Linked DNA regions of Arabidopsis thaliana. The protein of the gene in region 1 interacts with the protein of each later gene in a biochemical or structural test. Each region holds a gene or a part of one and is shown in the gene's direction. Other genes may lie near its edges. The genes, in order: CYCD3;1, CDKB2;1 and ICK1.

Region 1 (10,340 bases):
CAAATATCTAGCAAGAGACAAAACGCGAAGCTAAGAAGGTGAAACCAAAAACTGACTGCAAACTCACAGTGAAGCCACGAGATGAAGTCAACATGATTGAAGAGGTACTCGGACCTCACCTTCATGGCTGGATTCTTGTATTTTATGTTTCAGAATGTTTGTGAAGGATGTAAACATCCTGCTGCTTGAACTTCTGCACAATATCTAGCAGGAGACATTTTTCTAAAGCTCTGTGTATGGGGAAATTCAGTGAGAAACTTAAATCTGTTAAGAGTATTTCGAAGGCATAGTTTAGTGTTATTAGAACCCTAGTAAGCTAGTATTTTCATTGTTGCTCCTTGTTGTTTATCAGCAGAGAAGCTGTTCATACAGAGATAGAGCCGCTGAGAGAAGAAATTTGCATGGTGGATATGGTGTTGGACCAGGTCAAAAAGGAACAACAGTGGACCATAACACGGACGAGCATTCAGTTCCCGACACTGGTTCTGAAGAGGATACTGTAGCAGAAGCATTGGAGCTATCATTTGGATCTGGAAGTTATGCAAGGAGGATAATGGGAAACATGGGTTGGAAGGAGGTAACTTGTGGATCTTATCACTTGTGAGTTGTGATGTTATTTGGTGTCACCGTAATTTATGATTACTGGGGAAATGCTAATGCAGGGTGAGACGCTAGGGAAGAATACAAAAGGTTTGGTTGAACCGATACAAGCAGTGGGCAACACTGGGAATGTAGGGCTAGGATTTCCTCAAAGGAGAAGGAAATAATATGAGGTACAAGATATTCAGTTTAAGGGACTCTTAGTGTTCATATATTACTTGAGAAATTGAGTTACTATATAAACTTGGATTGGCTTATAACAAGAGAGGTTGCAATAGGTAGCTAAATTTCATCTAGACTTGTAAGAGTTGAGAATCATTTACTTGCTGATTTTGAGAAATAGAATGAGAAATCGAAGTACCAAGCAATAGACAAGTTGGTTTCGATTTTTATTGGACCAAGCAATAGAACTGTATCAAGAAAACAACATATCGGATTTATGGTCCATTTTCTCTTGGTCGACAATTTTTTGAAATGGCGCGACGTTGAACAAAAATTATACGAACAAAGAAAGCTATTTCCAGGTTACTGCCTTTATATTTGGATGACTTGTTCCAAGGGGAAACTTTTTTTTTTTTTGTCTGTCATCTGATGATATTAGAACTTTCAAAGGAACCAAGATGATTGCAACAGCTACACTGTAATCTATAACCATCATGCCATTGGACGCATCCTAGTAAATACATAAGAAAGACACTCCCTTTATTTTGGTCTCCGTTCTTCAGCCACACCTTATAATATCATCCACAAGATAATAAGTGGTGTCTAGCAAATAACAAAGCGAAGCTATATCTATATTTATTTACTTATTGATTGTCGTGAATCTATCTTTAATGGTGACATGCCATAGAATTATCACTATTGTGTGGTTGTGCTTGTAATTGTTTGTAAAAATTTTGATTTTATGAATCAAAGATTATCAACATCTAGACTTTAATAGTTAAGGAAATAATAATATTTAAAAAACGCGTACCTAAATCTAATGAAAAGTCAAAATTACGGTCAACGCCTTACGAGACGCGTCTGGTTCTTGAAAGCAAGTTCTGCGTTATTTCATCATCAATCAAAGTCGCCATTTTATTTTTATTTAAAGTCTCACGTCACGGAATTATCTCTCTGAATTCATCATCTTCATCATTACCTTCTTTTTCTCAATCTCGATTGTTTTCTTCCAAATTCATGTCGATGATGGCGGGTATACAAGGCCAGATTCTCGAGGTCACTGGTTCGTACCTTTCTCACATCCCCAATTCTATTATGTTCTTCAACCTTATCTATGATCCGTTGAAATGTTAACTTTTAAAATTTCTGGGATTCTTTTGATTTGTCAGTTGTTGGGTGCCAGAAATTGAAAGACACGGAATGGTTTTCAAGACAAGATCCATACGTCGTCCTTGAGTATGGTGGCAGAAGTCACCGTACCAGAACCTGCACAGGTTATTTTTAATACCACCTCTTTTATTCATAATTTGTTCAGATCCAGAAAAAATTGAACAAAGTTAAGATCTTTCAATGAATTTGATTGATGGGTTTGTTTTTTCAGATGGTGGAAAGAACGCTGTTTTCCAAGAGAAGTTTATCTTCACTTTGATTGAAGGGCTTAGGGATCTTAAGGTTGCTGTCTGGAATAGCAACACTCTCTCCACTGATGACTTCATTGGCAATGCAACGTATGTGTCACTTCTTATCATTGCCTTGTTATGCTTTTTAATACCCGCTTTGGATTTGGAATTGAGTCTTTTGTTGTTTGGTTGTTATTAGGATTCAATTGCAGAAAGTTCTTTCTCAGGAATACGACGACTGTACCTGGACTTTGCAGAGTAAAACTGGGAGGTAATTACATTGGCTTTACTAGTTTTTGTTCCTTTTCCATTAAGTATCATGTTTGGTAATCTCGATTATTGCATGGTTCACATTTGTCTAGCTGATTTTGGTGCAACTTTTTGATGTGGTTTCTACTATATAGTGCTTGAATATATAGTTTCGCCAGTTGCTTTGCTTTGCTTTGCTTTGTTCTTGTCATTTACTTACAGTGCTGACATGGTTTTGCTCACTGATCAGAGTCGTTATGTGTGTTTTTGTGTCCTAAATTGTTAATCTGTGTGAACTACTTGTTCGAATGTTCTGTTTCTACATTGAGCACACTCACAATTGATGTAGCATTTTGATTAGGTTTCTCTGGAACTTATGAAAGATAACTAGACATTTTGACATAAATGGAGCTTCTATTGTCTGTTGTTAGGTTACCTCAGTAAAGAGATGTGAAGTTGCGTTTAAACATTGTAGCATCAAATTAGAATTTCTTAAAACTGGTCTCTTGAGGTATTCCATTTTTGTTTTTGAAAAAGAGAAAGTTATGTGTTTTTTAATCCATGGCTATGTGTTTTGTTTTCTTAAATTCCTGGAAAATCGGTTACAATGTGCCAAGATTTTGGTAGCTTGTCCTCAGCGATTGCTCCTTGTAAAAGATTACTTTTTTGATTAAAAGCCTTGTGAAAAACATCAACCTTTCTGTCTTGTAGATTCGCTGGAGAAGTACAACTCCTACTGCATTATGCGGGAGCAAAGGTAAGTCGAGCCTCAATTAGCAACATTGGTTAACATGTTCCATTATAAACAAAAGGCTAAACACACAATCCACTCTTGTATGCAGAAACATAATTACGGGTCTGCGCCATCAGCACCGTATGCACCTCACGTACCTCAATACTCAGCACCGCCTTCTGCATCTCCGTATTCAACAGCACCACCATACTCTGGACCATCTCTATACCCACAAGTACAACAATACCCTCAGCCATCAGGATACCCTCCAGCTTCAGGGTATCCTCCTCAGCCATCTGCCTATCCACCTCCCTCAACCTCGGGCTACCCTCCGATCCCTTCAGCTTACCCACCTCCTCCGCCATCCTCAGCTTACCCTCCTCAACCATACCCTCCGCAACCATCATATTACCCACAAGGTACCTTCCTTTCTTTCCTGTTCTATGCTGCAATTGATCGCATTTGCTTGTCTCTAACTATAGTCAGTGGTGGTTGATCTTTTTTCTTCTTGTTTCCAGGTCCATATCCAGGACAATACCCACCTCCTCCATACTAGAGCGTTTGGCGTTTAGAATTTGACGGGAAGTGGTCATGATGTATAGATTATAGTTATGGTGTTTTCTAGAATTTGGCAGACGAATTTCTTTGTTTTGTTTTTTTTATATCATCTTCCTTGTGCTATTGCTAGCGTGATGGTTAATTTTTGAGTTGGTCAGTGAAACTTATTGAGAAGTTTGGATCTTTTCATGTTTAACCAGATCGCAGATTATATTGAATTATTACTCTAAATCCTTGGTTTTGTGTGTTCATCATCCTCTTGAGTTAAAATTATGTTAAAAACAAAAAAAGGTTTTGGTTCTGTCTTTAACTTTAAGAAACGGAACTTATCGGCGTATAATCATCGCACTTGTGATCAGATGCAATTAGAAAAAGGTTATTTGGTCAATGTATAGCAATATCTTTAGGTTCTAACAAAAACATTATTGTTGACAAATAGCCCAAAAGTAGTAGAATTTAGCCGACAGATTTTACTGCACTTTGGTTTCTCGATCTCTACTCCAAATGAGTAAAAAGTGGGTAAAGCGGGAAACAGCAAAAGAAATCACACATTTAATAAAAAATAAAGAAAAAGAAATTCCACATTAAATAATCACAACAAGAAAAACAAATAATATATTAGTAAAAGACAAACGTAAAAACCATCTCTCGGCCTTCTCTCATAAATCAATCTCTCTTCTTATCACTCTCCGAAACCCACTTCCAGCTTTTTCCTCTCTCTTTCTCTCTCTAGTCTCTCTTTTGTAGCTCTCCCCTGCTAAGCTAACCACTGCACGTTTCCATAGAGAGGAAAGATGAGTCTCTCTCCGAGAGATTTTCTCTCTATCATCTTATCTTCTTCCGTGTAATGCTCTGAGCCAAAACCCAATAACTAAATCAACAACAATATAGAAGAGAAGAGAAAGATCTTATCTTTCTTCTCATTCTTGAGTTTAGTCCCCCACAATGGCGATTCGGAAGGAGGAAGAAAGTAGAGAAGAACAGAGCAATTCGTTTCTTCTTGATGCTCTCTACTGCGAAGAAGAGAAATGGGACGATGAAGGAGAAGAAGTTGAAGAAAACTCTTCCTTGTCTTCTTCTTCTTCTCCATTCGTTGTTTTGCAACAAGATTTGTTCTGGGAAGATGAAGATCTGGTTACACTCTTCTCCAAAGAAGAAGAACAAGGACTCAGCTGTCTCGATGATGTTTATCTTTCCACGGATCGAAAAGAAGCTGTTGGTTGGATTCTGAGAGTCAACGCTCATTATGGCTTCTCTACTTTAGCAGCTGTTTTAGCCATAACTTATCTCGATAAGTTCATCTGTAGCTACAGCTTACAGAGAGACAAACCATGGATGCTTCAGCTCGTTTCTGTCGCGTGTCTCTCATTAGCTGCTAAAGTCGAAGAAACCCAAGTCCCTCTTCTTCTAGACTTTCAAGTAAATGATGATACTTGCAATAAATTTCCTTAAAGTTTAAGTCTTTTATCCCTCTGTTCTCATCTCTCTGTTTTTTTGGGGGTTTGCAGGTGGAGGAGACAAAGTATGTGTTTGAAGCAAAAACCATACAGAGAATGGAGCTACTGATTCTGTCTACTCTCGAGTGGAAGATGCATCTCATTACTCCAATTTCGTTCGTAGACCACATTATCAGGAGATTGGGACTTAAGAACAATGCTCACTGGGATTTCCTCAACAAATGCCACCGTCTCCTCCTCTCTGTAATCTCCGGTTCGTAAACGACAAAAAGAAAAAAGCCACTCCATTTCGTTTTACCATCTGCTGAATCTGAGTAATCATCTTACATTCTTGTCTTATCTTCCTCAATTGTCTTTGTCAGATTCAAGATTTGTCGGGTACCTCCCATCAGTAGTTGCCGCAGCTACCATGATGCGAATTATAGAGCAAGTTGATCCCTTTGACCCTCTTTCATACCAAACTAATCTCCTCGGTGTCCTTAACTTAACCAAGGTTAGCTTCTCTAATCATCTCTCTACTTGTTTTCACTCAGTCATTTTCTCAAACAACTCTCGTGCATTAACAGGAAAAGGTGAAAACTTGCTACGATCTAATCCTCCAACTACCAGTGGACCGCATCGGTTTACAGATCCAAATCCAATCTTCCAAGAAACGCAAGAGTCACGATTCATCATCATCGTTGAACAGTCCAAGCTGCGTGATTGATGCAAACCCTTTCAATAGCGACGAAAGCTCAAACGATTCGTGGTCAGCGAGTTCGTGCAACCCACCAACGTCGTCGTCGTCCCCGCAGCAACAACCTCCATTGAAGAAGATGAGAGGAGCTGAAGAGAATGAGAAGAAGAAGCCGATTTTGCATCTGCCATGGGCAATCGTAGCCACTCCATAATCGAAAGCTCGATTTCGTTTATATGATATTTACTGTTTTTTTAAACTTTGAGAACAATCTTTGTTGTATTAAGCTTTACCCGTTTGCATATACGAAATGTCGCGAATGCCCTTACGTGCCATGGCTTGATAGAGTTAATGGGTAAAGGGTATTCATGACATTTGACTGCATGGGATGTGACGAAGGAGAGAATTAGAAATAATAATAATAATATTGCGTAAATTTTGAGGCTTGCCCAATCTTTGGGCCGTAATCTCCGGCGTTATTCATATTTTATTAATGTTTTATATTATGAGTAGTAGTATGTTCTAAAATCTGCTTTGCTGAAGGAAATAATAATTACATACATATTCTTTTACTCCTGTAGTTTAGGAAAGAAAAAAACGCATTTAAATCCGTGCTATTTGATAACTACATTTTTTTCGTCCAGAATGGTGGATAATACAAAATTTAAGAAATGAGATGTCACAATGTTTTAATATTTGAATGAGACTGTTGTGTTTATGATCGAAAGTGAAAGATTTAGCGTTTTTAGCTTTGACTTTTGGGAGAAGAGCCAATTGTTGCTGCTTTTTTTGTCAGTCTTTAAATATAATCGCTTTCAAAGATGAATCAATAATTAAAATTTTAAAACGGAAAGACAAAAATGAAAACGTAACACTATATTATTGCTTTAGATTTTTTGTCTAAAGTCTTGTCAAAACCTGCTCTACACTATATTATTGCGTATCAAATAACTAACTACACATGAACATGTAAGTTGTCGAAAATAACAACATATAATTATAAATGTTTTTAAAAATCAAACAGCGAAACTTAAATCAAATCTACAGAGTGTAGATCTTTCGTTGACCAGTAGATAAATTAACTGCGACAGACAGACACAGGACAAGAAGGAGGAAGTGAAGTAAACGCGCCATATATAGGTGAGTGTTGTTCGACGACGATAAAAATGTGGTGCAGCATTAGTAACAACACCAGAACCAAAGTAACCTGCTTCCACTCTGAGCACCTGGGATTAAGACACGTGGCAAAAAGTATCCAGCGTTACTATTCTTTTTTTCTTTTAATAACATCAAATAATCGTCAATTAATTACGAAAATTGAAGATATTAAATTTAACAATTTACTATTATAAAATCCCTTTTGTATCACGGAAAAGCTTATATGATAATGCGATTGAATCACGAGAAATTGATTTTTTTTTTTTAAACAAAACTTTAGGTTGTGTGAAAATCTTGGCTCCTTCTTTTACACTTTTTCTTTTCCAATTTTATTTTCTCTTTGGACTTTTTATTTATTTATTTTCTTGGCAATAAAAAAAGAGAATTTAAATCTATAACTTTTTTCACGTGTGACACGAATTTTCTACTTTGGGGGATTCAGATTCATCGTTCTTTTTCCTTTATATTCTCAATTTCATTTCGCTACTTAGAAAAAAAACGAATTGCTTTAGCTGATGTCGTTTCTTAACGCTCAGCCTCACGTCATCAAAGCATTTAAACTCCCCTCGTTCATGTAATCTTACATTAATACGTATGCGTAATGCGTTTATGTATTGTTTAAAACAAAAGATCCGTTCTCTAACTTCAACTAAAAAGTTAACATCCATGCATATGTATTAGAATATCAAATTAAGCACAAATATTAACATGTTAGCAAAAACATGACTCTTTATTTCTACAATATGTATATCGACTTTTAATCACAAGTTTACTGGCTGTAGAAAATAGGTATATTTGTGTATATACGATTGAAAGTGTTCATATATTATATATATGATATGTTTTATTTTTGCCGTTGTTCTTGAGCAACTATATGCTAATATATATAGGAAGAAATAATATATTCTTCTTATTATTCTTATTTTGTATTTTTAAAAATAATATTTTATAATTTGCAGAAGAACGGGAACAATGTGATATATCAAAACTGAACAAATAAAAATACTGAAATTTGAGTAGTTAATCTAATAAAAGAATCTCTAGTGCAAAAACACTGGTTTAAAATTAAACAATTAAGATGATATATCAAAACTTGCATACCAAACTATACAAAAATTATAATCGGCCACATGCATTACTATAATTTTATGATAACATTTGAAAATCTGGAGTAGGGCATGTAGCTACATAATTGATGAAAGGTGAAAAAGGATGTATGTGGAAATCGGGAGGTTTTCAAAATGGGAGACCAAAAAATCTTTGTAGTTATTCGTTTTCTTTTACAAATTTCAAATAATAAATATGTTGTGGAGAATGTGTTTTCTGTCCTTTTTTTTTTTTTTTTTTTTTTGTCTCTTCTAATGGTCTTCTCCTCTTTAAGGTATGTTATCAATATCATGGTACCATACGCATCTCGTGAACCATATAATGACTTGCCATAAATTATTTATTTCCTGAAACAAAGATAAGATGAAAAAGAGATTACTTGCTACGAAGAAAATAAGTTCTTTTAACCAAAAAAAAATTGGTCGAAAAAAAAAATTCTTCACATCTATTTACAGTCTTTACTTTTGGGTATAATATATACTCTTCTGGACCGAATAATTCATTCCCTTCCCATTCCATCCCATCAAATAAATGTGAAACTATTCTTAGTCAGCTTTGAATTTTGGTAGTTTTATTTTTAATTTTTAATTAATAGGTGTTAAAATCGATGCTTTTTTATTGAAGAAAACTCAGTTATTAAAAAAAGAAATCAAAATATATTTGTATTGGTAAAAACAAATGAAAAAAGTTTAGAAAAAATGGGAAAGGAAAACAGCTTGCACCCAACATGGAGAAAGGGCAAAGAGGTCAATGTGTCCCCACAACAATAATTATAGAATATTATTATCATTCTCAATGGCTTTGTGACCTTTATATCTTAAATATTTCTTCTTTTGACCTAGTCTCTTCCCTTTTTACTTCCACTCTTCTTTTTTTCTTTTATTGTAATTTGAAGTGACGAGAATGTGTGTATGGTCAAAATGTTATACCGGGGAGAAGATTACAATACATCAAAATTTGTTACAGAACTGCTGCATATGCTTATCAGTATTCTCTGAGAAATTAAGTAAGTTAAGATAAATCACAAGTAGAGTAAACTGTGGAAACACTTCTAATCTAGCGATTCATCGATATGGTTTAACATTATCTCTTACGATCGATTTACTTCACTAATTAAGTGAATGTCTTTTTTTTTTTTGCTTAATAGTCGAAAAAAGTTTGAAGTATATATAGGTCCATCATCTTTTCGGATCATTATTTTAATCCTCATTTGTTTTATCGGTGTTTGAATTCGTGTTTTTGAAAAACTCTTTCCTCCTGATAGTAAGCAAACTATCAACAGCGATTTAAATGCATCGTTTGTGTATGCACATTTTTTACGTCGTCTCATACCACGCGCTACTTGCCTATTCTATCTATGGCTCTATGCATACGAGTCTCCTTAATTAACGTTGCAACTTGCATGTAGCAATATTTGCTCCATGGTTAAACAAATAAACAATCAGATCAGATAGTCATTCATTGAAAGAATTCGGTGTGTTTATCGCTGTCTCCATCCTCTTCGTTCATATATGTACAATATATTTAACAAATTTTAAATTACAGATTTATTTTATGATACAACATAAATAACTTAAATGTTTAATAGTTTTTTTTTTATAGTGCCATAAATCTTGAGTTTGAATATGATCCAGAGTTTCAAAATTATGTGTCTCATTTAAAACTAAAAGAACTCCAAAAACACATCTCCATAGATTTCTACAAGCTATAACAAACAGATCTCCATAGATTTCTACAAGCTACTTTCATTAATTTGCCACATGCAATCATCAAAAGATTAAAGTAAGCCTTCAAATTGCTTATGTGTTTACCCATATAAAAGAATATACGCCGTGTTAAGAGTTTCTTAGAAGAAGTCATGACTTGAATTATTCTCTTTGTTGACGATTTGATCGAAGCAAACCAAAAGTACATATATATCATAAACTAATTATACTTTTACAATTGAGTACTGCACATACGTTTTTTACTAGTCAAGGGATGTTGACAAATTCACATGCATTGAAAATCAGGACATGATTAGCTTCAAAACAAAGGAAGTATAAAAAGAAGTAAAAAAAACAAAAACAAAGAGCTGCATTCTCAAAATTTGTATAGTCCATGATTATGTCTCACAGCTGCAAAGTCTATATGGTGGTTCATAAAACCAAGTAATCATTGGTCCAATGCAGTAAATAAAACAAAAAAGATATTCATATGTGGGAAATTATAACAAATAAACAAGGAAATATATACTGTAT
Region 2 (10,415 bases), on another chromosome or scaffold:
TACCATTAATATACCTAATCCCATCGATACTGACTGATGAAATTCAGTTGGTAGATCTTTAAATAATGACAGGCCTTTCCTACGGTCAACAGAGTAAATAAGAAGCCTTATTAAAAGCCCAAATCAGGTCAAATAATAAACAAATCCATTTTTTTAAAGATCCATGTGCATAATAAATATTTATTTTCGATGGGTAGTTTATCAATTATCAGGCAATAATAATACTTGGGGAAGAGGGAATGAGAGAGTCGTATCTTTTACTATATGTTTGCCTTTATTCCTTTGTAATTACCATGTAAAAGCATATCTCCCTATTGAATGCTATATTCCCCAATATTTCCATCTTCTTTTTTTTTCTCTCGCTATTTCCGTATTTACCCTTCACCTATCCTTTGGTGCTCATTCACTCTCCCTTTTAGCATATCATCATATCCTATTTTTTGCTTTTATTTTTTCTTAGTTTGAAAGTTTGGTCGCACTTAGGTGGGGAATTTGTCAACTCAAACTAAACCAAAACCTAACCGCATTTATAAACTAAACTTAAAACCAAACGTACACTCATACAGTTCGATAAATTTGCAGTCTAAAACCTTTTAAAACCCATAAAATATGAACACCAAACCGAATTAGACAATTTGGTCACTAACCAAACATTACCAAACCGAAAAAGGTAAGGGTATATATTTATATCCAATGGCATTTTCGTAAATAACCAGAATAACAAGGGCTGATCGAGAAAAAGCGTGGACTGAAAGAAAAAAAAGAAGAAGACCAAATTTTGGCTGTTTGGTTGATCGTATCGCCCAAGTCCCCCGCATACTATATAAATACTTTTGACGGGCCAAAGGAAAAAACTTTCTCTGAATCTTCTCTGAGTCTCTCTGACACTCTCACCAACCTAATTTCTCACAAAAACCTAAAAAGTTATCGCCCATGGATTCAGATTTCGGAATCCCCAGAGAACTCTCTCCTCTTCAACAACTCCGATCTCAGTACCACCCTGAGCTTCCTCCTTGTCTCCAGGTACTTCTCCTTCTTCCTTTTATTTGTATATTCGTATCTTCCTTAGATCTCTTGCTTCCTTCTCTCGTTCACTGTCTCCAATGTTTGGATCTCTATGTTTTTCATTGATATCATCTCTTCTGCTGTTTCGTTTTCTCACAATTTCGTCACGTCGCGAATATTTTGAATCCCTTCGAGCTGTTTATTTTGATTGTCTACTCGAGGAACTTGCAATGTTGTTTCCGTTCATGCAGATCTGTTTACACTGTTATTATAATCGGGATCTAGGGTTTATGATCCTTTTATACTTACTCGTCTGATTTAACATTTCAGTTTAGTGTGGTAGGTAGAATTGCCTTTCAACGTGAACTACCATGATGGAGTGATTTTCTGGAACAGTGATTGAATCGTAGTTTTTTTTTTGGTTGGATGATTCGTAGTTTAATTCGTTATTGATTCAATGTACATTACAGGGGACTACTGTCCGTGTTGAACTTGGTGATGGAACCACTGTGGCAAAGGCTGGTGATGCTCATATCATTGCCCGTGCCTTCCCACATACTCTAGGCCAGCCTTTGGCTCATTTCCTCAGGGCAACTGCTAAAGTTGCTGATGCTCAGATCATTACTGAACATCCAGTGAAGAGGTGTGCATGCATCTGCATATTTATAGATCTCTGGAATTTCTTGTTCTGTGGTTTTGTTGTTGGTTAGAGCTAGTTGTTTTCTATTGTAGGGTCGGAATTGTGTTCTGTGGAAGGCAGGCTCCTGGTGGGCACAATGTAGTTTGGGGTCTATACGAGGCTCTCAAAGTGCACAACGCGAAGAACACTTTGCTTGGATTTTTGGGTAAGTCCCTGTTTTTTATCTGTTAGTTGGTTTTCTTATTTCTGTAACTTCATTGTTTGCTTACTATAAAGTCACATCTTACTTCCGTATTGATGTGTGCCTGGTCATTAATATGAAACTTTGGCTACCTGTAACAGGTGGTTCTGAAGGTCTCTTTGCCCAGAAGACCCTGGAGATCACTGATGAGGTCCTCCAAACTTACAAAAACCAAGGTTGGTGGTTGGTGGTTTGATTAAGATTATTCAGAACTTTATCTCTGCTGCTTTCTGACATATGGCATTTAAATGTATGTCGTATTAGGTGGCTATGATATGCTTGGAAGAACCAAGGATCAGATTAGAACAACCGAACAGGTCAATGCTGCACTAAAAGCATGCACGGATTTGAAATTGGATAGCCTAGTTATCATTGGAGGTACCTACTTTTCCTCTTTTTCGGGTGTCTGTTTTAGTAGATGTTTTGTTCTTAACTTGTGTAAATATGATTTTTTAAGTTCATCCCAGAATTTTCTAAATCAATGTTTTTATTTGTTAGGTGTAACATCAAACACAGATGCCGCTCATCTTGCTGAATTTTTTGCTGAAGCAAAATGCTCAACAAAGGTCCTAATTTCTTCCCAGTTTTTCTCTTTCTTTGTCTGATCTTGTATCATGAATCACTTTAGTGACATTTGCACTTCACCTGATATCGCTAACAGCAGAAATTACCAATATGTTTCAGGTAGTTGGTGTTCCGGTCACTATTAATGGAGATCTTAAGAATCAGTTTGTGGAAGCAAATGTTGGTTTCGATACTACATGCAAGGTAACTTTGAAATCTAGCGCTTTTTTTTCTTTTACTTTGTAGGTATTGTAGCCAACATTCTTTCATTTCGCTCACCGTTCTTTTCAGGTTAATAACATTTTAACTCGTTATTTAGACTAATATCATTCTACTGTGTACAGGTGAATTCTCAGCTCATTAGCAATATCTGCACCGATGCCCTTTCAGCAGAGAAGGTAAATGTTGATTCCTTCCAAACGTTATCATGTTTTAGAAAGATTGCTAGGACACTCATAACCAACCTATATTTTGTTGGTTAATAATGTGAAATTTATTATGGTTTGATAATTGCGAAGTTGGGTTCCTTATGATTCTGTTATCAAATTTTCTTCTCAATAACATACTTTCCTCCGTATTGCCAGTATTATTACTTTGTCCGTCTCATGGGTCGGAAGCATTCACATGTTGCCCTTGAGTGTACACTTCAGTCTCACCCCAACATGGTATTCTTCCAAATTCTGAATATATTCAATCGATAGTCTTGGCAATGCTGCATCTAGTTTCTCATTTGCATTTGATGCGATTGTCTCAGGTGATACTGGGTGAGGAGGTTACAGCATCTAAGCTCACAATATTTGACATCATAAAACAAATCTGTGATGCTGTTCAAGCAAGAGCCGAACAAGGTCTGATAACTAAAACGAGCTTTTGGTATGTTGGAAGTGATGTCTTTTGCTTGTTCCCTAACTTTATTGATAAACTGTCTATTTGTATCAGACAAAAATCATGGAGTCATCCTAATTCCTGAAGGGCTTGTTGAGAGTATTCCTGAACTCTATGCTCTGTTGAAGGTAACGATTCAATACTGGCAAACATTTCTATTTATCATTTAATGTGCTATTTTTTATTGTTTCTTGAGTTCCAAAACATAGTAAGCATTTACATGTTGTTGTGCGATGCAGGAAATTCATGGATTGCTTAAGGAGGGTGTGCAGGTTGATAATATTTCTACTCAGTTGTCATCTTGGTCATCTGCTTTGTTTGAGTTTTTGCCTCCATTCATTAAGAAACAGGTTCTAATTCTTTGACATGGTACTTTTCTTTGTTTTTTCTCACATGTAAACGAGTATGTGTTCTTATGATAAATTGTCTTCTTTGTTTCTGCAGCTACTTCTCCATCCCGAGTCTGATGATTCTGCTCAGCTATCCCAGGTAAGAAGAAAGAAAATGATGGAGTTACTGTGCTATAAAAAGTTGGAATTCTAATTGCTCATTTACTTTCTTCTTAGATTGAGACGGAGAAACTTCTGGCTTATCTTGTGGAGACTGAAATGAACAAGCGCTTGGTATGTTGCACATCTTTTTCACTTGTCACAATCCATTTTTTTCAAATTTTTTTGAATAACCTTGCCTGAATATTCAAGTTGTCCCTAAAACTAAGTTTTGAAAATGACAGAAAGAAGGAACCTACAAAGGGAAGAAATTCAACGCTATCTGTCACTTTTTTGGTTACCAAGCTCGTGGATCTCTTCCATCAAAATTCGATTGTGACTACGCCTATGTATGTGATCGCCAAACTAAAATGCTATTGCAACTTCAATATTATGGACATTCACACCATTGATTATAACTTTGATGCAGGTTCTTGGACATGTATGTTACCACATCCTCGCAGCTGGTTTGAATGGTTACATGGCGACAGTGACTAACCTGAAGAGTCCTGTAAACAAATGGAAATGCGGGGCTGCGCCTATCTCAGTTGAGTTTTGTCTCTTATTTATAAGGCTAAAGTTGTTTAGTATATGTGTTGATTTCTGACTTCAAGTTTCAGTTTTACTGACCCCAATCTCTTTCTCTGTTTAACCTTAGGCAATGATGACGGTTAAGCGTTGGTCCCAAAATTCTGGTTCTACTACGATTGGTAGACCTGTAATTCATCCAGCTTCAGTTGACTTGAAAGGAAAAGCATACGAGTAAGCTTTTGTTCCTCACTCATTAGACAAAGATTAGAATGAACATGAAATCAAGTGATATAATTTGTCAAATGATTTTGCAGTCTATTGAGACAAAACGCGCAGAAATTCTTGATGGAAGATATGTACCGAAACCCAGGACCAGTCCAGTATGATGGTCCAGGTGCAGATGCAAAGGCGGTAAGTCTGTGTGTAGAAGACCAGGATTACATGGGGAAAATCAAGAAGCTGCAGGAGTATCTTGATCAGGTGAGGACGATTGTGAAACCGGGTTGCTCTCAAGATGTTTTGAAAGCGGCATTGAGTGTTATGGCCTCGGTGACTGATGTTCTCACTACGATCTCATCTTCTTCCACCAGCGGTCAGCAATTTGCTTAAAGATTTTTTTATTGTTTTGGTTTTCCCTTTAACCATAAACTTCATTAGCTCTCTCTCTCTCTCTCTCTTTCCATTTTGAAGTCGTCTTCTGATTTACGCAAACTTTATTGTTCAAAGTTGAGTTTAGGAAAAGGATATTCAAAGTTAAAGGATTTGAGTAATGCTTTTTTAATGAAGAAGTCTGTGTTTGGGTTCACTAATCTTCTTGTTGCCTTCTCGATCATAATTTGTATATGGTGCGACCAAATCAAAGTACCTACGGATATATATGACAAGTGGACACAAATGAATAAATGTAAAAATTAAAATTAAATACTATAGTACGTGGCAAATTAAAAAAAGGCGTTTATGAAAAGACCGCTCCTCCACGCTCCAGTTTGAATTTCGAAAAATCAGTCCGTTGTGAAAGCCCAAGAATAAGGATTCTATAATTTCAGGTCTCATTTAATTATATAACCTATCTACACTTTGATCTCCGACAATTCACTTTCCCAATAAGAACCAACTGAGAGAGAGAGAGCGCCGGAGAAGAAGAATTTTAGAGAGCGATGGACGAGGGAGTTATAGCAGTTTCCGCCATGGATGCTTTCGAGAAGCTTGAGAAAGTTGGTGAAGGGACATACGGGAAAGTTTACAGAGCCAGAGAGAAAGCTACCGGGAAAATCGTCGCTCTAAAGAAGACGCGTCTCCATGAGGACGAAGAAGGCGTTCCTTCCACCACTCTCCGCGAGATCTCCATTTTGCGAATGCTCGCTCGTGATCCTCACGTCGTCAGGTTAGGGTTTTACCTCTGATTCGATAAAATTGCCCCCATATTCTCGATCTTGTAGTCGCGTTAGGGTTTATATAGTCGATTTCTCACTATCTCGCTTGTTTTCCAGATTAGATAGATCTCAATTTCAAATCGTAGTAATCAGTTCGAAGAGTCTACTAATTGTTAGATGATTTGGCTCTGAGAAACTGTTGATAGATGTTTCCCTAGAGTTTGATCTGGATCGCTGTATCAGTTAGTTTTCCAGTGATTGCAAAATCAATTATATACGGAAACTTTATTTGTCATCTTTTTCAGGTTAATGGATGTTAAGCAAGGACTAAGCAAAGAAGGCAAAACTGTACTGTACCTGGTTTTTGAATACATGGACACTGATGTCAAGAAATTCATCAGAAGTTTCCGTAGCACTGGCAAGAACATTCCAACCCAAACTATCAAGGTTTTTAACCACCTTATTACTGTCATCTCTCTTTCTCGCTTCATTTGTGCTCACTTGAACCAAACATAACATTCTGAAAAGTTATTTGCAGAGCTTGATGTATCAACTATGCAAAGGTATGGCATTCTGCCATGGTCACGGGATATTGCACAGGTGAATTGTTCTCTGGCTTTCCCTTGTTTTCAACTTCTAAGTGAGAATGATTTTAGATAATAACTTGGAAGAGAGATTTCTTCTTCTTACTATTTCTCCTTGTTTCAAAACAGAGATCTCAAGCCTCACAATCTCTTGATGGATCCCAAGACAATGAGGCTCAAAATAGCAGATCTTGGTTTAGCCAGAGCCTTCACTCTGCCAATGAAGAAGTATACCCATGAGGTAATCAATGTTTGACACTGCTTCTTGCACTTATCCCACTTTGTATGTATTGTAGAACTTATGGTTTTGAATCGGTTGTTCATTGCAACAGATATTAACTCTTTGGTATAGAGCTCCAGAGGTTCTTCTTGGTGCCACCCATTACTCTACAGCTGTGGATATGTGGTCTGTTGGCTGCATATTTGGTATGTGTTCTTTTCAGACTCGTTGATTTCACTAGTCACTGCGATATCATCTTAAGTTACTAAACAACAACAATTAACATTGTTCCTTCACCATTTACAGCTGAACTTGTGACCAACCAAGCAATCTTTCAGGGAGACTCTGAGCTCCAACAGCTCCTCCATATTTTCAAGTAAGTCTTTGTTGATTCTTCACCTTTTACATGACAAACATAAGAAAACCTTTTTTCATTTTGCCGCTCTTTCCGGTGTACAACTCAGGTTGTTTGGGACACCCAATGAAGAAATGTGGCCAGGAGTGAGCACACTCAAGAACTGGCATGAATACCCACAGTGGAAACCATCGACTCTATCCTCTGCTGTTCCAAACCTCGACGAGGCTGGAGTTGATCTTCTATCTGTAAGTCTAAAGTTTATTAACTAGCTACCAAAACAAACTCAACAGACGAACTAATTGCGTTTTTATCTTCCTGGAACAGAAAATGCTGCAGTACGAGCCAGCGAAACGAATCTCAGCAAAGATGGCTATGGAGCATCCTTACTTTGATGATCTGCCAGAAAAGTCCTCTCTCTAAGGATTTAAAATCTTCAGTTAGTATCTTTCCAAGTTTTATGGTTTTTCTAGTTTTGCTTCTTTCAAGCATATCTCTAGTGTGCTGCTTCCCCCTCTATGAATCATCCTTTCTTTAGCATAATATATCACTTCTGATTGTTGTTTCTTTCTATTCGAATATTTGGATTAACGGCTTTAATGTTCTTAAGACTATTCGCAATTATAATGATCCAGTCATCTGGAAGTCTAAGAATAAGTTCTTGAATAAATGGATACATATAACAAGATCGAGTGTGGGGATTTATGTCACAAGCCACATGAAGAATGTTGGCCAAACAGTGAGTGAAACTGCAGCCAAAGAGTAAGTCCAAAGCATAATCACAGAGCATTCACTCTCCCCAGCGCCGAATAATTGGGTCTTTGTACCTGAAAAGTAAGGGAAACTAGTGATGTATCTTATCTGAAAGAAGTAACTGTATTTTAAGGAGTTGGTTTCAAGCCATGCACCTAGATTCATGGCTGGTGGGACAGCATACTGAAGAAGAAGAACGAATTGGTACAAGGGTTCTGAGGTTACTAAATCCAACTTGTATGCTCCTCTCACGAGTAAAACACCGCTTACAGGTAGCAAAATGTAACGAGCTACCAAGACGCCGATAATGCAGGAGTTTTTCATTTCTGAACTCCTCACTTCCGACCTCCTCATTCCTTTAAGTAAGTTTCCTCCAAGAATCAGGGTCATAGCAGGAATGGCCCCATCTCTTTAGCCAAAAGAAACAAGACACAGAAAAAGTGAGTTTTTCAAAGAGATGAATCATTTGTTGAGCTACTTCTAAGATAATGAGACTATTCTACAATTACCCCAATAGGGTTAATGAGTCTTGAATCACACGGAAAGGAGCTACGGTGCCGATTATTAGGTTCCTTAAAGGAGTAATAAGCCCAATCACAAGCGCGATAATCTGAGAAAACAGAAGAAGAAGAGATAAGAAAGATATACACTAGTGTGAATGTCTTGAATGTATATAAAAAAGGTGCCACTGAAACACAAACTGCAGCAATAGTTGCTGGAGCAAATATTGACCCAAGGTTGACTTTCTTTGACAGAGAAACAACTCTTTGCTTGACTTCTTCCCACCTCCCAACCTGTCAAACACACACAAAGTCACTGCCAAAATGAATAACACTGATGATGATGATGAAGAGTTGTTGATTAATGAGACCTGATGGTTGTCTTCTTCTTTTTCTTCTTCCTTGGAAGAAATTAGTTGGACTTTGCAGCTGTCATCATAGTTGGATTCAATAGAGTGTGTGTGTGTTTCAACGGGAGAGTTTGATAGCACACGCATAAGATTTATATATAAGTCCATGAGTAAACCGTTCCCGCCTGATACATACCAATTAGTGTCATGTTTATACACACTGATAAAAAAAGCCTTGAAGAGAGACAAGAGAGGAAGAACTAACAGTCATGGACAGTGTAACATAACCCATTCCGTATTTCTCGCAACTCTCAGAATCTCCAAAGGGACCTCCTTTCTCCTTGCAAATGGCTGGGATTATAATGAGAGGCATAGTCCCCAAATTCCCTGTTTTTGGTTTCATTCATCATCACATTCATAAGCAAAACATACGATACAAAGAAAGACAAAAAGATTCTAAAATCATGTCAAGGTTTGTACCAGAAGCACAACAACTAATGATGAGACCACGAAGCTGTGAAGGAGGCTTAGTTATGACAATAACAATCCAGCCGAGTAACGAACCAATCATGAATGTGAGCAGAACATTAACCGGCATAAACCACCTGCAATGCAAATCCTCATTTTCATTATAACAAGTGAGCTTAAAGATGATGCAAAATTTGATATTGACTTACATTTTGACCAAGCTTTCATATGTAACACTATCAGCTAAGCGGCTTCCAATAAGCGAAGGACTAAACACATAGAAGACAATCTATACACAAACAAAAGAGAAATTTAAGTTAACTCTTTTAGATTATTTGTTAAAGAAGAGAGTTAAAAAACGGACGTTGTTCAAATGTTTGCGAGCATCATGACCAAGAAGATTGACTGTGTCGAGAGCCAAATAAAATCCAACTGATGTTATCAACAAAGTCTCCACAACTGGTTTCGATGAAGCTATGAACAACTCCAAAAGCTTCATCTCTACTTCCAAAAGTTAGAATCTGCAAACTTAATCCATATATTACATGATTTGAGATAAAGAAACAATGAACCAAACGACGATAACTTATGGAGAAATCAAATGAAATGGTATAGTTACCTTTTTAGAGGAAGAGTGAAGGAGAGATATAGAGTAAGTATTATTTTTGTTCCGTATGAAAAAACCAACGTATCATAACCACCAACTCTTTATCTGAGAAAAAAAGAATACAAATTATAAGGGAACCATCGTCATGCCTTTAGTCACAGCGACTAGGAAACGTGCCATGTTACTTTGTGGTTCTTGCTGAAGATGTGGATATGTCGCATTGTGTTTACCGTATGGTAAAGAACAATAACGTTGATTTTAAAAAAACTTCTGTTGTTGTCATCTATTTTCTGAAGAATCGTTTCATAAACTAAAATGTTTCAGTACTATAATTTTTGTTTTTCCACAGTTTCACTAGCTACAAATTTATATATTACATATAGTATATCTTGGAGTCTAGCATGCACTTTAGCCCTGATGTGGAAGGTTATACATCAAAATCTCAAATATGACGTGATGAGACATTAATTGATCTTAGAGTACGATTAGGTTTGAGATACATGGACACAGATGTAAAGAAATTTATCACAAAATCCACCAATTAGAGCTTTTTGTCACCACTCTTTTCTCTCATCATTTGTACTCACTTGACTGATATGTAATAGTCTATTAAACCAAATGTAACAATCTGAAATTTTTCTCAGGTGTACCAAACTAAACAAAGGAATAGCTTTCTGCCATGGCCACAGTCACAAGTAGTCAAGTAGATTGTTCTCTGGTTTTACCCTGTTTCAAGAGAGAATGATTTGGGTATCATAACAGAGATTTTAAGCCTCACAATCTCTTGATGGATCCCAAGACAATGAGGATCAAAATAGCAGATTCTTGATGAGGCTGGACTTGATCTTCTA
Region 3 (9,375 bases), on another chromosome or scaffold:
TCATGCGCCACCAAACAAACTCATAGATTTGTGCATTAAAGTTGATTTGCAAGGCTGTCGTACATCTTCTACCGTTGATTTATTAATCAAAAGAAATTAAAGTGCGAAAACATAATGTAATATTAAAGTATGTATAGTGGAATATATTTGACCCATTTTAATGATATATTTATGCATATAATACAGACTATATTATTAATACAATAATTTGTTTTGTGGGATTTTTTATTTTTACTTTGAAAATTAGTCATACAAATGTAGTTTATATATCATTTTAAAATTGTTTTGCCAGGTTACAAAACATAGATTAATATGTCATTTACTTGATCAAGGCAAGTTTATTTATTAAAACATAGATTATTGTGTCATAATTTAGTTAAGAATACTACTACTATTGACAAATATTGAACCAACAAAAAGAATTCCTGCTAATTACTAAATTATACGAACTCTGAGCGAAATGATAATCCTACTGGTTGTTGAAGCCTACGAAACATTTATAGCTGCTAGACAGAGAATCTTTTGAACACTCCGAATATCACTCACCATCATTGGACTAACGCTTTTTGGTCCAATATAAGGAGAGACCATTCAATTAATAAATCCCATGATATTTGGTTTCTTTTTGTACGGTTAGCTTTTACAAATTTATAGAGAAATACCACATGTATAGCTTACCTACCATTTCAAGCTCAAGTTGTGCATTTCTATAATAGATTAAAGGAGACTAGACCGTTTCATGTAATTTAGTAGAGCTTTATGATCTTGTAAAATTCTCGAGCCCTTAACCTTTTTTAAAATTTGTAAACTTTGTAAAATTTTGTAGTTAAGAATTTTGGTAAGGTTTTAATTTTTTGGCAAGCTCAATAGTAGTATATTAAGTTGAAGTTCTTAAAAAAAATATATTTAAAAATTAAAATATATAAAAACTTAATTATTATTGAACTCATAATATTCAATACATAGATGACATACAAAAAATTAAAACATACATGAAAACATAAAATTTAACTATTAATTTCTGCTAAAAAATTTCCATATATATTCAACCAAATCAAATTCAATTATTGATGTGCTTGTCGATTACGAATTCGAGTTCGAGTTTCCAATATATTCTCGAGATTTGAAGGCATATATGTAGAATAGGTGAAATCCACTTGTGCATTTCTAGTTGATTCCGGTTGTACAAATTCAGAGACATCAAAGTAAGTGTAAGTATCTCGTTCGTTTTCTACTATCATATTATAAATTATTATACATAGTAGAAGAATTAACGGTAAGAAAAAAAATTCGGCTTTAATATTATTCTTCCAACCAACCAAATCATGCCACGTCACCACCACATTTTACTTCAGAGGATCTCTTAGCTTAGAGGGCCTCTAAGCAAAATTGCTCAATTAACATTTAAATTTAATCATTTACAATCTAAGAATCTCCTAATATCTCCCTAATATCCCCCCTTTAATGATACTCTTAGGTTCTTGACTGTCTTAATTATTATTTTGTATGAGAATTGTAAATCAGTATTTTGGAAATATTTTTTATTTTCTTAATTTTTGAAGTAGTAGCTATAAATATATAATTTAGTTAAAAGAAATACAGATTATGTTAATGGATATACATGATTACTTTTTCGTTAATGGAAATATAGCTTCAGTTTTCGTTATTTGTCTCTAAATTCTTAACCATCTTTTACTTGGTATATTGCTTATTTCTCAAATACTAACATCCGTCTAAAACTTTTAACAAACAAACTAAAGTTTTTCAGTGACTAATATTACGTAATACAAACTTTTAGGTTTTTCTCCATGCAAAATAATGTCTGGCTCAAATTTTGAAACGCAGATATGGAATATCTGTACCAAATTATTTCAAAGATAGTTATTCGTTCTACGTACAGATTTTGAAGACATAAACAAGTAATCGAAATTGCTTCTATAGTTCTATTCCTAAATCGGTTTGTGATTAGATCGAGTTACGTATGATTCAGTTCAAGCGAATGACATATCTCGATAGAAAAATTTCTTAGTTCAAGCGAGTGACACATCTCGATAGAAAAATATATGAGAAAATTGGAACCTGATAAAAAAATGTATGTGCTTTTAAAATAAGATGGATTACATCAATCTTAATTTAATCAAATAAATATTATTACAATCACACTTGCAAGAAACTGAATATGACGAAACTGTACGTAAATACATATTCAGAAAAAAAAAGTCACCAGGCCAATCATATTTTCAACATGTAATCACATAGACGATGCTATTGTTCCTCTCCGTTAATTATGTACGGAATGTCCAATACCGGGGCTATGACCAGGTTCCGTAGGTCTGAAGGTATCAACCCCGTGGCTCGGCGGCGACTCAAGTGGCTCAGTCGGAGGTGACGACGACAATACAGAGCCACCAGCTCTGATTTCCTCAGACGTCGTTACGGTGAATTTGGTGAGTTTTCGGCCTTCAATTGAACCAACACTAATAGTCAAAAGAAAGATAAATGCAAAAACGTAAACATTAATCGTCGCCATTACTAGAAAAACCGAGACGAGAATTAGAAAAAAAAAGAAGCTAAATTATAATATTTAGTCGAAGGCGAAAATGTATTATGTATTGATGCATGAAACCTCTTGGACCATCTGATGTATTTATAGGGATGAAATTTTACATAACATGGGCGCAACACTTGAGGAGATAAATTAAATATTTAGGGGGTATTATTGGTTTATGATTTTAAAAGAACTTTAACGATTATGTAAAATCGTTTGTTATTCAATCAAGATTTTTAAAAAGTTTATTAAAGTTCTTTGTTATTAATTTAAGATTTATAAAAAGTTTTCTAATATCTTTATAAATCTAGGGTTATAGATTCATACTTTTTTGTAAAGTGAGTAAAAGTTTTATGTTATTCAATTAAAACAAAAGTCGTCTGCATGACCTTCATGTAAATTTCAGTCCCTTCTTTTGATTGAGAAACTAGGGAATTTTTTGGATTGAAAATTGCTTGGTGAGTTAAGGAGATCTAATCTTGATGCTCACTTTATTGCCAAGAGCGTAACAAAAAATGATCGCCGTTAATCGTATGTAGCAACTAGGTTTTCTTTTTGGTTAAAACAACTTTTTGAGGAAGAAAAAAATGCCTAGTGTAATACTGGTTGATCTAGAATGATTGTCCTTGATCCACATTTTTTTGTATGTTTGGTTGGAAATTATGAAGTATATATTTATCTTTCAGTGAAAAAAAAAATATTTTTAATTTTTAAAGCAAGACATGGTAATTTGAATGCACTCGCCACTCCATTTTGTTCATGCTTTGAGACAAAAACAAAACATAGAAAGGCTGACAAGGCCCATGGGAAGTGATGGAGGCCAAGTTTAGTTCTTAGAAACCTTTACTATATTATGACTTATTAAGCCCAATATATCACGATCGACACGTGCTGTTGACAACTTGACATCAGGCTAAGCAAATACGCAGGGATAACAAAAATATAATTTCTAGTGTCAGTTTTACTTTTACCTTATTTTACTCACAGGTACGTAGTTTTTAGGCTATCCGTAACAATCCACCTATACTATACACATAATCTATATATAGTCTCTATCCAATTCATTTTAAAGTAATATGAACTTTCTAATTTTACCTAAACTATAAAATTCATCCCAACTATACAAAAAGCTTGTCAATTATAATTTAAAACATTTTAAACGGTTTCGCGTAATGGCAAATCTGTGAATTACCAATAGATGAGAGGGTTTTTAAAATAGTTAGTTACACCACAATTATTACGCCTCCCGTTCCGTTAAGTCACCGTTTATAACCGACACGTGTCAATAAAACAAACCATCGGCATAAGTAACTCCATAACATCCAAATAACGGCGCCTCCAGTTTCCCCGTTAAAGATTCCCCGTCACTGTAACGGGACCACTAAAACACGCCATTTCTCTATCACACACAGCACAAAACTCAATCCTGACCGTTCAAAACCAAATTCATCATCTTTCTTTCTTCTTCTTCCTCATCCTCTCAATCATATCTCTCTCTCTCACAGAGATTGTGACTTCACGCACACGTAACCTAAATCGAAGATGGTGAGAAAATATAGAAAAGCTAAAGGAATTGTAGAAGCTGGAGTTTCGTCAACGTATATGCAGCTACGGAGCCGGAGAATTGTTTATGTTAGATCGGAAAAATCAAGCTCTGTCTCCGTCGTCGGTGATAATGGAGTTTCGTCGTCTTGTAGTGGAAGCAATGAATATAAGAAGAAAGAATTAATACATCTGGAGGTTATTTAATGTTGTTGATTCTAGATTCTTGTAACTGTATATGTATCATTTAATGTTAATGTATTTTTTTTTGAAATTTTGAAATTTTTGTAGGAGGAAGATAAAGATGGTGACACTGAAACGTCGACGTATCGACGGTGAGTGTTAAAAAAAAAACTGAAAATGATTTGAATTTTGAAGGTTTTATTATTTTCCCGGTTATTTATTTGACTCTCTCTTCAATAAATTTAGAATCTTGCTTGTGAGTTATTTTAGGGGTACGAAGAGGAAGCTTTTTGAAAATCTGAGAGAGGAGGAGAAAGAAGAATTAAGTAAATCCATGGAGAATTATTCATCGGAATTTGAATCGGCGGTTAAAGAATCGTTAGATTGTTGTTGTAGCGGGAGGAAAACGATGGAGGAGACGGTGACGGCGGAGGAGGAGGAGAAGGCGAAATTGATGACGGAGATGCCAACGGAATCGGAAATTGAAGATTTTTTTGTGGAAGCTGAGAAACAACTCAAAGAAAAATTCAAGAAGAAGTAAGTTTTTATTTTATTTTGTGAGTTTGATTTTTATAGATAATATATTTTTTATTCATAATTTAAAATTGATTTTGAGGTAAAATTAAGAGTGAGTTTATTTTTTTTTAATTAGGTACAATTTCGATTTCGAGAAGGAGAAGCCATTAGAAGGACGTTACGAATGGGTAAAGTTAGAGTGAAGAAGAAGAAGAAGTTTATGGTTTTTTTTTTAACTTTTTAGATTTTAATATTTCAGGGAATAAGTTAATTTTATTTTGTTGATTTGGAAATATAAGATTTGTAGGAGGAATGTTTTTAGAAGTACGAAATTGCACAGAAAAAGAAGAAAGCTTTTTAACAGATTTTAGAGCCCAGAAAAGTCGTGTCTTTTAGCTCTACTTTTACCTCTTCTTCGAATCTTGTGTATCTTTTAGCATATTCTTTAGTACATTTTTATGTTTTTGGTGACTGATAAAATTCTATCCCCACACAGGTACAACCACACTCATTTTTTTGTCTTCTCCGTTTTAATAATATTCAACCAAAAACATCAAATGCATTTTGGTAGATTATCTTACCGCCCTAAACGCTTAAAATTATTTTAGAATTTTATTTCTTACAACGTTTGATATGGATTAAAAAGTACTATGAAATTAGTTATTATTGTTCTACTACTTAAATTAACTAATCGACAATTTCAGTGCAGTTTTTTGTTGAACAAAATCGTACCAACCATGTCAGCTAACCACACCAACTAATTTTTTTGTTTCATATTCAGCACCGAATATGATTGAGCTCGACCAATCAGAATTTCAAGATGATTCTGTTATTCTTAAAGTTTATTGATTAATAACAAATCACAAACATTCTATCACACGAAACTTGGTTTGAAACTTTTCAAAATTTTAATTATAATAATACTAGCATATAATAAAACTTTAGATCTGTAAAGGGCATACTGTACTGGCCCAATGGTTAGAGAATTTTGAGATAATGCCATAAATACATTATTCCAAATGATGCAGGACCATTTTGTAACTAGACAAATTATCCGAAGACTTGGAAACAAAACTCTTTCATGGACCATTTCAGAAAATCTTCAAAACAAATGATCATGGACCATTTTGTATATGTAAGCTTAATTCAGATCACAAACAGGTTAAATGAGGGACTCAAATAAACAAAAACAATTCTTTCATCGAGGGCTGTTTTATTTTCGTGATATTGTTAAGGGAAACTTAAAGATATGTTTGGAATGGCCAAGTCAACTAAATTAACTATTTTTTAAGAAGTCAAACTAAACTTTAGGATTTAAATGACATTTGAAAAGTTCATGTTTTTTTCGTCAACAATATGAAAGTTCATGTTTTCTCAACATTTTTTTCTTTAATCAATCTATTAATTTTCACTAAAGAATTGTTGTTTTGAAAATATGAACGGAGCCAAAAAAAAAAAGAGTATTGGTCCCGACCAGTTTTGTGTATACTATGTGTTTCTTTTATATCAACAAATTTAACTTTCATCCAAGAAAACCCACGCCCATATCGAGTGCCCTGCCCTCGAAGCCATGGCTATTTGGAGACCATAAGAATTCAAAGTTACACTTGTATAACTCTGTTGTATAAGACCAAAACTATCACTTGTTTTTAACCTCAATTTGGATGGATTATCGTCTTGTCATTTTTAGTCATCTTGTATTCTTGTTAAGTGATTTTTCGTTAAGTAATGGTTTCCTTATATTCCATATTTTTTTTTACTGTTTGGTAAGTTTCTGTAATAAAGTTTTACTCCTCATTTACTCTGTTGTATTTTTCTATTCTCATATTCCATAATTCATCTTTTTGGAAATGAATTTTGAATATGTGGTTAGTGACTAGGTCCACCCCAAACGTCCTAGTAACGCCTAAAGAAGTTTTTGAAGAAAGGTAATGTTCTTCAAATCTCTGCTAGAAAAAACTCAATTAACTCAACTGCTTACCAATCCGTTTGCAACAGTAAGTTGTCAACCATATGACGAAACTAAACCTGATCCAAAATCGTTGACTTGAGTAAATGTTTTTACAGTCTCCAGTATGTTTACAGCTGTAAATATAAAATCTTATTGAATCAGTTGAAAACAAAGTTCCAGTGAACGCAGAGAGTTTCTTTCCTCAGTAAGAAAATGAAACTTACTACGACAATGAGAGATCATCAAAATGTTGTAAGAAAAAGAAACTAAAAGTGAAAAAAATGCATATTTGTGATGCTGTGGTATATAAATTATATACATTACACCAAACCAAAACCAGATTCTTCTTTTTGGTTGTTCTGTCACTGCAATTCACCAACAGGTGCTTCGTTTAGCCATAAGAAGTGGATGAAATCGTACAGCTTTGCGCTTACACTAACCTGTAAACCATGAGAGAAAAAAACATTTACACAGATTTCTCAGAAACTGAAAAACATGTTTGTCGGATAAAACCATACCTTATAAGGAGTTGGGTTTAATCTCCTCATATGATCAGGTCGCATGTTTTCGAGCTGTTTGATGCAACGGTCTCTTATCTCTTTCAAAGGCGGTAATACTTCTCTTGCTTCATCTTCATTGGTATAGAGAAACAATAATCAGTGAAAAGCATTGTCATTAATAACTCTACGGTACCGGAAAATCTTTACCTGCACTTCCACGCCAATAACATTTGAGGAGCTCTTCGACACGTTGTGGCACTACATATGCTCTTTTGGATTCGTTGAATGGGTGACGACAAAGTAAACGCTCACCAACCTTTGATATCAAGAAAGATATTATGTAAAAATGCAATAAGGTAATGAGATTAAAATCTTTGAGAGAGTTATCTTTCGTTTTACCTTTGGAGGTGGTTCGTTCTCTCCAGTCATTATATCTACCAGAGGGTAACCTTCTTTGCCGTATAATCTGTAACTTCGCTTTTTACACGGTATTGATACCTAAACGAATCAGAATGATAATCAGATTAAGTGCAATGTGACATTGAATGTTCAGAACACCAAGAGAGAGAGAGAGAGTTTTAACCTTTGTAACATCTTCAGAAAGTTTAATCCGAGGCTGATTGTTTATCTCCACAAGTTTGAAAACGCAACCTAAGGCCGCTTGTGAATAGCAAGTGACCAAGTAGGTCCCGATGCCAAAAGCATCCACCTCATGTCCCTATAGAGATGAAAGAAAAAACACTGCTTAATAATAATCAATCTTTCGGGGGCATGGCATTTGAGAGTGGGTTAGGGAGTCACCTGTTTATTTAAAGCGTCAATCGTCTCTTCATTTAGATCATTACTAGCAGTGACGACCATCTTCCCAAAACCAGGCACTTTTAGTTCTCTCTCTACCGTGCAGAAGAAATTTCTGGCCTCTCTAGATAGATAAGCTAAATCACCTGAATCCAGTCTAATACCTAATGCTTTATATCTGCGCAGCACAATAAACATCAATTGCATCTCAAATTCCATATGATCCTGAAGAAGTACAAAGTCAAGTCAGACGATCGGGTATTGATAAGAGATTCTTACACACCCAAAGTCATTGAGTGCTAAAGCAACTGCACAGAAGTTAGGGATTCCACTCTTCATCACCTGTAAAACAGTCAGCAAAACACTAATATAAGAGTTTATTAGAAATCCTAAGGCTCAAATGAGCTATCTACTATGGTGTTTAATGCTCACATCGTATGTATCTACGAGGGCAAGAAAAGTTTTGGGGAATGCCAGTGCATATGAGGTGAAAGCTGCTAGCTCGCTTTGATTTGTCTCAGAGAAAATGCCACTTAGAGATGGTGAATACTGTCATCCACAAAGAAACAAAACATAAGAAAAACTGTGACAAAGATTCAAGCAAAGGGTTGAAGCAGAAATAGAACAATGGTCCTGAGACTAGAAAACAGGAAGAGGAAGAGCAAAATGTGCAATAAACAAACCTGAATCTTTTTTAACCATGTCTGAACATGACTAACAAAATCCTCGCACGTGGTTTTCCCATCAGCACTACGAAGTACTTTGTCAACAATCTCATCAGTACTCTGCAATCCAAAGTTAACTAATTATATCGAAAATGCTTTTGTGATATTGTTATGAGCGAGGATATTAAGTGTGCATCAGAACCATGGCTAATAAAGTTATAGCAACAAAGGCATTGACAAGAATATCTTATTTTCACGAAACTTTGTGTTATCGTCTCTACTAGCTAACTCAAGTATGTAACCTCCACATAAAAATTGAAACTTTTGGCTGAAGTGAACTGACCATGAATGAGCTAACATAAGCATGAGAGTGTGTTCCACGAAGAGGAATCCCAAAAAGTTTTCCAGCTGCTACATTACTGTCATTGGCAAAATACCCAACAACACAAAACACATCATTTCCACATTCCCTTTCACCTACTTCCAGATCAACAAAAACAAAAAGCAAGACTTGCCTTGTTGCATCAAAACCTCCAAGGTAGCAATATTTTGATGCGCTTATTGCACCATCCGGACCCTAAGATTCCAACACTAATAACATCAGACAGAGATGGAAAGAACAACACAAAAGGCAATATATCAAAAAACAAGAGAGAGATTTATAGGAAACCT

Evidence for each region.
Region 2: the proteins of CYCD3;1 (region 1) and CDKB2;1 form a complex in vitro, tested with the Arabidopsis thaliana proteins (one study listed by BioGRID).
Region 3: the proteins of CYCD3;1 (region 1) and ICK1 form a complex in vitro, tested with the Arabidopsis thaliana proteins (one study listed by BioGRID).

Annotation. Positions count from the first base shown.
Region 1 is NC_003075.7:16,353,256-16,363,595, forward strand, and holds CYCD3;1 (CYCLIN D3;1), read left to right. Parts: upstream 1-4,165; 5' UTR 4,166-4,647; coding exon 4,648-5,121; intron 5,122-5,210; coding exon 5,211-5,412; intron 5,413-5,521; coding exon 5,522-5,652; intron 5,653-5,725; coding exon 5,726-6,049; 3' UTR 6,050-6,310; downstream 6,311-10,340. Other genes in the region: AT4G34140 (D111/G-patch domain-containing protein), read left to right, coding at 12-104, 356-577, 663-767; AT4G34150 (Calcium-dependent lipid-binding (CaLB domain) family protein), read left to right, coding at 1,780-1,825, 1,932-2,036, 2,144-2,270, 2,362-2,433, 3,123-3,168, 3,254-3,563, 3,663-3,700. UniProt on the Arabidopsis thaliana protein: Involved in the control of the cell cycle at the G1/S (start) transition. Activates the G1/S phase transition in response to cytokinin hormone signal, but declines in response to sucrose starvation leading to G1 arrest.
Region 2 is NC_003070.9:28,717,448-28,727,862, reverse strand, and holds CDKB2;1 (cyclin-dependent kinase B2;1), read left to right. Parts: upstream 1-5,312; 5' UTR 5,313-5,511; coding exon 5,512-5,738; intron 5,739-6,032; coding exon 6,033-6,174; intron 6,175-6,265; coding exon 6,266-6,327; intron 6,328-6,440; coding exon 6,441-6,552; intron 6,553-6,643; coding exon 6,644-6,737; intron 6,738-6,837; coding exon 6,838-6,907; intron 6,908-6,995; coding exon 6,996-7,134; intron 7,135-7,213; coding exon 7,214-7,309; 3' UTR 7,310-7,535; downstream 7,536-10,415. Other genes in the region: AT1G76550 (Phosphofructokinase family protein), read left to right, coding at 934-1,023, 1,476-1,648, 1,738-1,850, 1,988-2,062, 2,151-2,264, 2,385-2,452, 2,571-2,654, 2,795-2,848 and 10 more; AT1G76530 (Auxin efflux carrier family protein), read right to left, coding at 7,589-7,713, 7,795-8,048, 8,149-8,249, 8,341-8,433, 8,511-8,723, 8,755-8,876, 8,970-9,094, 9,167-9,246 and 1 more.
Region 3 is NC_003071.7:9,972,637-9,982,011, reverse strand, and holds ICK1 (Cyclin-dependent kinase inhibitor family protein), read left to right. Parts: upstream 1-3,921; 5' UTR 3,922-4,090; coding exon 4,091-4,288; intron 4,289-4,381; coding exon 4,382-4,425; intron 4,426-4,543; coding exon 4,544-4,810; intron 4,811-4,925; coding exon 4,926-4,992; 3' UTR 4,993-5,422; downstream 5,423-9,375. Other genes in the region: AT2G23440 (uncharacterized protein), read right to left, coding at 2,282-2,530; NAPRT2 (nicotinate phosphoribosyltransferase 2), read right to left, coding at 7,103-7,180, 7,259-7,371, 7,448-7,556, 7,640-7,738, 7,824-7,958, 8,042-8,216, 8,322-8,380, 8,471-8,587 and 4 more. UniProt on the Arabidopsis thaliana protein: Binds and inhibits CYCD2-1/CDKA-1 kinase complex activity. Regulates cell division which is crucial for plant growth, development and morphogenesis. Functions in turning cells from a mitotic to an endoreplicating cell cycle mode.